Linked DNA regions of Drosophila melanogaster. The protein of the gene in region 1 interacts with the protein of each later gene in a pairwise test. Each region holds a gene or a part of one and is shown on either strand. Other genes may lie near its edges.

Evidence for each region.
Region 2: the proteins of Klc (region 1) and syd interact in a two-hybrid assay, tested with the Drosophila melanogaster proteins (one study listed by BioGRID).

What each region holds. Positions count from the first base shown.
Region 1 is NT_037436.4:12,748,083-12,752,010, reverse strand, and holds the start of Klc (kinesin light chain), read left to right. Parts: upstream 1-1,954; 5' UTR 1,955-2,048; intron 2,049-2,171; exon of another isoform or gene 2,172-2,301; intron 2,302-3,112; exon of another isoform or gene 3,113-3,204; intron 3,205-3,328; 5' UTR 3,329-3,353; coding exon 3,354-3,928. Other genes in the region: CG10984 (uncharacterized protein), read right to left, coding at 1-704, 1,156-1,209, 1,272-1,404. UniProt on the Drosophila melanogaster protein: Kinesin is a microtubule-associated force-producing protein that may play a role in organelle transport. The light chain may function in coupling of cargo to the heavy chain or in the modulation of its ATPase activity.
Region 2 is NT_037436.4:7,933,730-7,937,657, reverse strand, and holds the start of syd (sunday driver), read left to right. Parts: upstream 1-1,537; 5' UTR 1,538-2,178; coding exon 2,179-2,280; intron 2,281-3,505; exon of another isoform or gene 3,506-3,670; coding exon of another isoform or gene 3,671-3,673; intron 3,674-3,866; coding exon 3,867-3,887; intron 3,888-3,928. Other genes in the region: Srp9 (signal recognition particle 9), read right to left, coding at 885-977, 1,043-1,183. UniProt on the Drosophila melanogaster protein: The JNK-interacting protein (JIP) group of scaffold proteins selectively mediates JNK-signaling by aggregating specific components of the MAPK cascade to form a functional JNK signaling module.

The DNA.
Region 1 (3,928 bases):
CTTGTCATCGAGGGCTGTGGAGCAAATGCTATTGCTCTTCTGTGGACTTTCGTGCGGGCTAATAGATTGATTGGTTATGACGGTGTCAATGGAATCGCTATTGGAGCTGACCACATACGGCAGGGCGGCATTGCGAGAGGCAGTCACCTTGCCAGTTCGAAGCACATTGCCCTCAGTGTCGATTGAGCAGTTCTGCTGCGGAATCACAATTTTTAATGGCGGCACTTTGAGTCCTCCGTTGTATAGGCTGTCGTTACTCTTGTAATCATCGCTGCACTCCGTTTCGTTCTCAATATCTACATTCTTACTAGTCTCCGCCGGCTCCTTTTCGGCATTGGAAGCGCTGCTTTTGTTTCCTGACGGGGATCCCTTCGTTGCAGCTAGCTTGGAGCTTTTCTCCACGCGCGATGTGAGCTTCAGGGAGGCCCCCTTCACGTCCTTTCCATGCTCCGAATCCTTGCGCTTCTTTTTCTTTACGTCCTCGCCAGATTCCTCGTAGTCCTCCTCTATGTCTGAGTAGCAGCGCTTGGCAGCCGAAGTTCCCTGATGATTCGTATCGCTGGATTTACCATCGTTGCTGCTCTCCTCCGCTGAAGATTTGTCTTTCGTGTCCAGGACCTCTTGCTTCTCATTCAGGCTGCCCTCGTCAGTCTCTGCGTCTCCTTTCTTGCATTCATTCTTCTTTAAGGTGGTGCGGGATGAATCTGCAAGAACGAGAATCTTATACATTACATTTGACGGCTGTGTGATTTAGTTTGGAAGATCATGTAGGAAGTAAAATGAAAGCTTATTGTCTATCGGATATCTTTTCGGGTGGAATTTGTAGTTATGTTTGAAGGAAAACCAACTAAAATGATTTTGTGTGAAAACTAAGAACTTAAGCATCGTTAAATGAGTTGTTTTTAATTTTGGTTTCTAAAGTATTAGCTCGGATAAGAGACAGGGTTTTTTTGACATCTTTACACATATTTCTTCAATAATAATTGGTATCTTCATTTGAATCAGTTAAATGACAATTTATCCGCAATCGAAACCAGTTTCTCGGATACTTTTACATTATTCCTGACTCTCAGATACATTTATGTATGTACATACGTAGATATGTACATGCATAGATGTATATGCGTGTAAGTATGTACGCAGCGAAGTACCCACGATGTAAATTGAAATTCAAGCCGACGAGCAAAAGTTCTAAGCTTTGTGACTGAACTATAAAATCCACTTGAATCATGTGAAAAGTAGACATTCACTTAATTATTTTGCTTATTTACCTGTCGACGAGTTGGCTGTCATTTGGATGAGCAGAGCCATTTGCTGCCTCTCCGACATTGGCGTGTTTGAGTTCGATCTGGGTTGGGTAGCTCCTGTATTAAATCCTATCCCCTTCGGTCTTGGGGGTGGCATACTCTTTTGTTCAGTTTTAGACGGTAAAAATTAAAATATAGAACAAAAACGGAGACTTGAAAAAGTCTTGCAAAATTTATTACAAAAAGAATAGTGCGACCGTATCGTGAATACAAAAATATGCCAGCTTGCTAATATAATAACGATGTTTTCAAATCCATTAAGTTAACAACAAATTAATTTATATATTATGTGTACAAATTTCAAGATACACCTTTAATTAGTTCCAAAAATTAAATTTTTTATTGAACTAAATCAATACCTGCTCCACCAAGGTATGTGCGTTTGTTGACCTCCAACATGTTATAGATGCTTACAAATAGCATGTTGCGCATTATTACTTTTAACTACTACTTTATTTATACTACATCTTAGCTATTATACGAAGTCTTATTGTTAGTCTACCCGATTTTTTCAGGAATTTTCATTTCTTTAGTTAGTGTTTCGATTCCACTGCGTTCTCCTCCCGACAGTGTGACCACTACTGCACAGTTGAAGAAAATCCTAGCTTGTCAAACACAATTCAACGCCCCGGCTACGGTCACACTCAGTTTTATTTTAGAAGTTTTGCAGTGTAAGATATTTTTATAGCAAATCTACGCACTATTTCGCTTATTTGAGGAGTTTGCAGAGCAAAACCGCTGGTAATAAGTTACAATATTTGAATGCACTGCGCGATAACTTGCATAATCATTTCCAACTGGATTTCGAACGACAAAATCCATTCACCCACACACAAACACATCTACTTGAGCTTATCTGTGTATGTACATATGTTGCACATAAATATAAGTGACTGCCACTTGAAGAAAAGTTTTTTACTGGAAAATATGATTCGTTTTACATAAATAATCAAGTCTAGTTGGAAAAGTGCTCGGCGGCAGCTCGTGTGGCAAAGTAAACACAAATGGAGGCCTAAGGCCTAAGTAATCGTTTAGCATGATAAATACTAAATACAATCTCTTAATGCCACTAACTTTTATGTTTAAGTGTTCATAGATATTATGTACAAAAAGTGACTCACTTTTTAATACACTGGAATTAGTGAGCTGGGGTGTTGTAACCCCATTTGCAATATTTATAATCTGACTATTCCAATCACAATATTTGGCGATCTTGATTAAGAATAAAGCTATTTTCTCGAAAATCAACTTACAATCTCATTTTACGCAATCTAGATTTCCGATTCGAAAGGCAAATGACTAAAGAAAACTATAATTTTGAATATGTTAGGGTACTAATAGCTTCGGTCTCTAAAAAACTATACAATTTATTTTAGTTGATGTAAGCAGCTACTTTTGCCATTCGTTTTTTGTTTATTGCATGACGCCAAGTGTAATTAACTTTCGCCCATAATTATAACCATAATAAACGAACTAAATGGCCTTAAACACTTTTTAACGAAGTGTCATGTTTATGTAAATCACACCGGCAATGTTGATAAATAATAAATAAAAGAAAGTTTTCAAAGCACAGTATTCGATATAAATCGAATATGCTTCCACCATTAGTTTCCAATTAGAAAACATAATTGAATGAACTGGAATTTGTTTGGCTTAAAAGTAAATTGAAGTTAACTTAATCCAGAAAGTTGATCCCTTACTTTTAATAGTTTCTGTAGTTTCTAAAAGTTATTGTTACAGCGAATGTAATAGCGCGGGCATTTTCGATTATCAACCACCTTTTTTAACGTGCATGCGCACTGCGAATTTTCTTTTTCATCGTATTGATTAACGCAGCTAGAATCGTTTAATATACGGTTAAAATGATTGTCTCCAAAGCTATCAAATCATACAGGATGTAAAACACATCAAATACCTCGATTAACACCTTTTAATTTTGATATCATTCATGTTGTTACACTTTCAGATGTCAGAGGGTTGTAGGAGCACTTACTAATCTGTATTTTGTATGTGTTTTGTAGACAGAAAATTGAGAAAATCGGCAAAATGACGCAAATGTCGCAGGACGAAATCATAACCAATACGAAAACAGTCCTTCAAGGCCTCGAAGCCTTGCGAGTGGAGCATGTTTCGATTATGAACGGAATCGCCGAGGTGCAGAAGGACAATGAAAAGTCGGACATGCTGCGAAAGAACATCGAGAACATCGAACTGGGCCTCAGCGAGGCCCAGGTGATGATGGCCCTGACATCCCATCTGCAGAACATCGAGGCCGAGAAGCACAAGCTTAAGACACAGGTGCGCCGCCTCCACCAGGAGAACGCCTGGCTTCGCGACGAGCTGGCCAACACTCAGCAAAAGTTCCAGGCATCCGAGCAGCTGGTGGCCCAACTAGAGGAGGAGAAGAAGCACCTGGAGTTCATGGCGTCCGTGAAGAAGTACGACGAGAATCAGGAGCAGGACGACGCTTGCGACAAGTCCCGCACCGATCCCGTGGTCGAGCTATTCCCGGACGAGGAAAACGAGGACAGACACAACATGTCGCCCACTCCGCCCAGCCAGTTCGCCAACCAGACTTCCGGCTACGAGATTCCAGCGCGTCTCCGTACTCTGCACAACCT
Region 2 (3,928 bases), 4.8 Mb from region 1:
TTTCCAGTTCCCATCGGTGGTTCTTCGGTTCCTCCTCCTGCTTTCAGGTGGCTTGTTAACTGTTTGCTCGGGCTGTTTAATCGCTTTAATGGTTAGGCAATTAAGAGTTCTTCGGAAAACGTCTCCGAATGCCAACTACTCCCTCTTCTTGTGCTGGAAATATTAATAAATTCTTTTGATATGCTCCGAAAGAAATTACATCCATTTCAGGTAACATGAGTAATACTTAGAACGAATAAAATATTCTTTTATGTGAAAAATATGGCAGGTTTGGTTGCATTACCTATTGGAAACTTAATTTTGGAATAGATTGATTGATCTAGATATATATAAAATGGGGTTTTTAAACCAAATTAATGATAAAAACACCAAAAGATTGATTAGTCTCGTTGCATTTTTCAGTTCTCCCTTGATTTATTTCATGCTAATCGTTTCATGGAAATGTGTTGAAAGACCGATTGACTCTTACGATAAATACAAAACCGTATGGTTAACATTATGAAAAACATTTTGCACCGCCGCCGCTGCCTGCAGATGGGGATTTGGACCACCAGAAGAGAAGTAATGATGATGATGATTCCATCCGCAGTTCATTCGCAACGTGTACAGAGCAGACATTTATAAAATGTCGTTTAAAAGCAGGCTAAATGCAGCAGCTACTCTGATCGCCACATTCGAATGTCAAAAACTCGGCGGCTTTTTTGGTGCTTAAAAACTAAATTCAATGCGGGTGTTGATGGCACACACACAAGCACACACCTGCTCCGGCGAAGCAACAACAACATTCGTGGCCGATTCATATGCTCATGCATGTGCTATGATCTTTGTTGTTGTTCCTGGGCAGAAGTGTCGCCGTGGCCAAAAAGTTTCTGTTTTTCTGCGTTCTATTCCTTGGACGCCATGTGTCCCACCAAGTTGCTGGTGATCTTCTCGATTTTTCTGAGATCCGGCATGTTCTCCGCTTTGTACTGCACACACTGTGGTTTAATGAAGTAAAAATTTAAAAATGTGTTTTGCACTGATAATGGAATTGGGTGCAAACCTTAACGTTGTCCGTCATTTTTAGCAGAATGTGGCCCTTGGAGTGCGCGTATTTCATGGTAAGTCGACAGTTCTGTGGATTGGCCAAGTACATGTTCTCGACGGCAATCTCGAAATCATCCCAGTTCTTTACAAAAACCATTTTTTATTTAAACAAATGGAAATCCAGGCGAAATTATTAAAAACAACAACAGCAACTGGACGGCGTGACGTTGAAGCTATCGAAAAAATACCAAACCAACAAGCCAAAACTATTCGATAACGAATAGCTCAACAGCTGAACACCCCATTGTGAATGTCTTAGTATTTTTCAAATATTTGCTGACGGTTTTTCAAACAAGGGCCTTTCTAAATTTAAACTTTACATAAATCGAAAATATTAGAAATAAATATAATTAATTTTAGTAAGTTACGGTGTAATAATTTGCTAAACATTACTTAAGTGCGACCGTAAAACACCTAGTTAAAAATACCACTTCGCCAATGCAAGGTGATCGGTATTTTCAGGGTAACACGTTCACACCCACCCACACATCGTAGCTGCGCTGCAAAGTGTTTCAATATTTATTGCAAAAATGGTGTGAAAAACCACTGATTCGCTTAAATTTAGTGCTCAATCGTAAGCAACGGATGGCCGCGAAGGCGTCGGCAGTGAAATTCGCGAGTAACATTGCTGAAAATACATCGAAAAGCAAACGCGAAAAACGATGAAATCTAGTCAATCAAATATTGTGAATGGATGTGAAAGAGAAGAAAGAGGGGCGCAAAACGAAAACGCAAATAATAAGTGACACGCAGAAGCCAGCTAAAGTGCAGTTTATTTAAATATACTAGAGATCTGTTCAAAATATAAATATAATCTCACAAATCATCAAAAAGTCAAGTGTCTGTGTGTGGTGTGTGCGTGTGTGTGGGAGTCTCTCTCTCTTTTTCTCCCTCTTTTCTTCCCCATCTACCGTGTTGTTATTCTGGTGGGGTTGAAAAGCCATTGCCTGCATAACGGTTAACGCGTGACGTACGACCCATCAACAGCAGTCAAGTGCAGCACCCTACCGCCCCTCGCCCTTCCTAAAGAGTAGAGAGCACACCTCCTTTATAAATAAAGAGATCCTCCGATCCACCCAAACACCATTCATCATGATGGACAACGATGATGCACTGCTCAACAATGGAGGACCACAGTCCGGAGCTGAAACTGTCTACGGTACCGAGGACAACAACATGGTCATGTCGGAGAAGGTAATAGTCCATCCACAAAAGCCCTCTTTCATCTTGTCCCACTGAGAAGTAACCAGATCACTCGGAATGGGAATAGTCTTAAGTTTCAATAGCAGTCCATTGATAGTTTATAGCCAGGAAAATTCACTGTGATACCATTGACTAATTTATACTATTCACTGAATCATACGGGCGTTTCTGATTCTCCCTTAAATTTGATAACGCACAATAAGTAGGTTTAATCTGTTCTGGTTCTCTGCTCCTTACCATCCACATTCAGACCCACTCGTATCGTACAAGTAACACAAACACGAGATAATGAGGCTATAAAAGTGTTCCAAGCGGAAATACAATCGCAGAAATATGCTTTCTTTGCACATCATTCTTGCTCTCTTCGTATCTCTTTCTTGTTTATATACCCTTAATTATGTAAAAACGCAGCCAACAATTGTTTATTATGCATCAGCTGACGTCTGTGGTCATTGACATTAAAGCTGGCGAAAAATAGTAGCCAAAAATGGGTAGAAAAAGAGAGTTAGAGAGCAAAAGAAGGGTAAGAAGCCGGGGACCAGAAATCAATAAAGTCAGTCAGTTGGCCCTCAAATTTTATGACCACCTCACGCAATATTCTGCAGAGAAAGAAATACCATGTCATAAATTTTGTTAAACATCTCTTATCTGATAAGCTATAGAAATTCTAGAACATCAAACACAATAATTATAGTTTTGGCGTTTATAATTATTTATAACCATAAAGTATAGGTATTTTTAGGTTCAACAACTTTTTCAAAATCAGTTCAATAAAATGGTATGACACCATAAAAGCTTATCGATTTTTATAGCCTTAAAACTCCATATATGTATATAGTATATTGGATTCCTCAACTGCCCCATCTACAGTCTGGTCTATTTTTAATTTTCACCCCAATTCCCCGATTGATTTTGCACTTTATCAGCTTCGCTAGCTTTAATCGGTCTATGCAAATCAAATCAGGGGGCCTTCCCTCTCAATTTCGTACTCATATAAGTGTTATTTCGCTATCCTCACCACGAAATGAGCTCATCAGGTTCCCCAATTCATAGTTCTTGGCGCACATGGGCGGCTGATAAGCTACCTGTTAATTGAGTAATGAGTTCAAACAGGCACTTTGAAGCGGGAAGCATTGCTGACACGCCGATAAAAACTTGTTTTTTAGCCCAACGAGCGCAGAAACCATTTGTGAAACAAGTCTGACCAAAAATGTTTGAATACTTTAGCTAGTTGGCCTTATAGGTTGGCCCAACCTTGGGCGGTTGACGGGTTTTTATTAGAGAATTACCGTCTCTTGCAATGTAAATGCCAAGAAATGCCGTGTAAAACTTAAAAACTAAATTAAACTCCAATTAAAATCATTTAAATACGTGAAAACGCATGGTATATCTTTTTATTTTATTATCTTATTTAACACATTTATCGTAAATAATTTTGCACCAACCTCACTCATTCATCATGTACTTATTCATAAGACGGGTTTTATTTGCACATTTTTCATTTAATCAATTTGTTGAAAATTTTGTTTTTTATGTGTCCTTTACACCATGTTTTTGTTCTTTTCTTTCTCTTTCAGAATGAACAGGTTGTCAGCATCGTGAGTTATCAAAATTTTTCGTTTGTGGTCTATTTATTTTC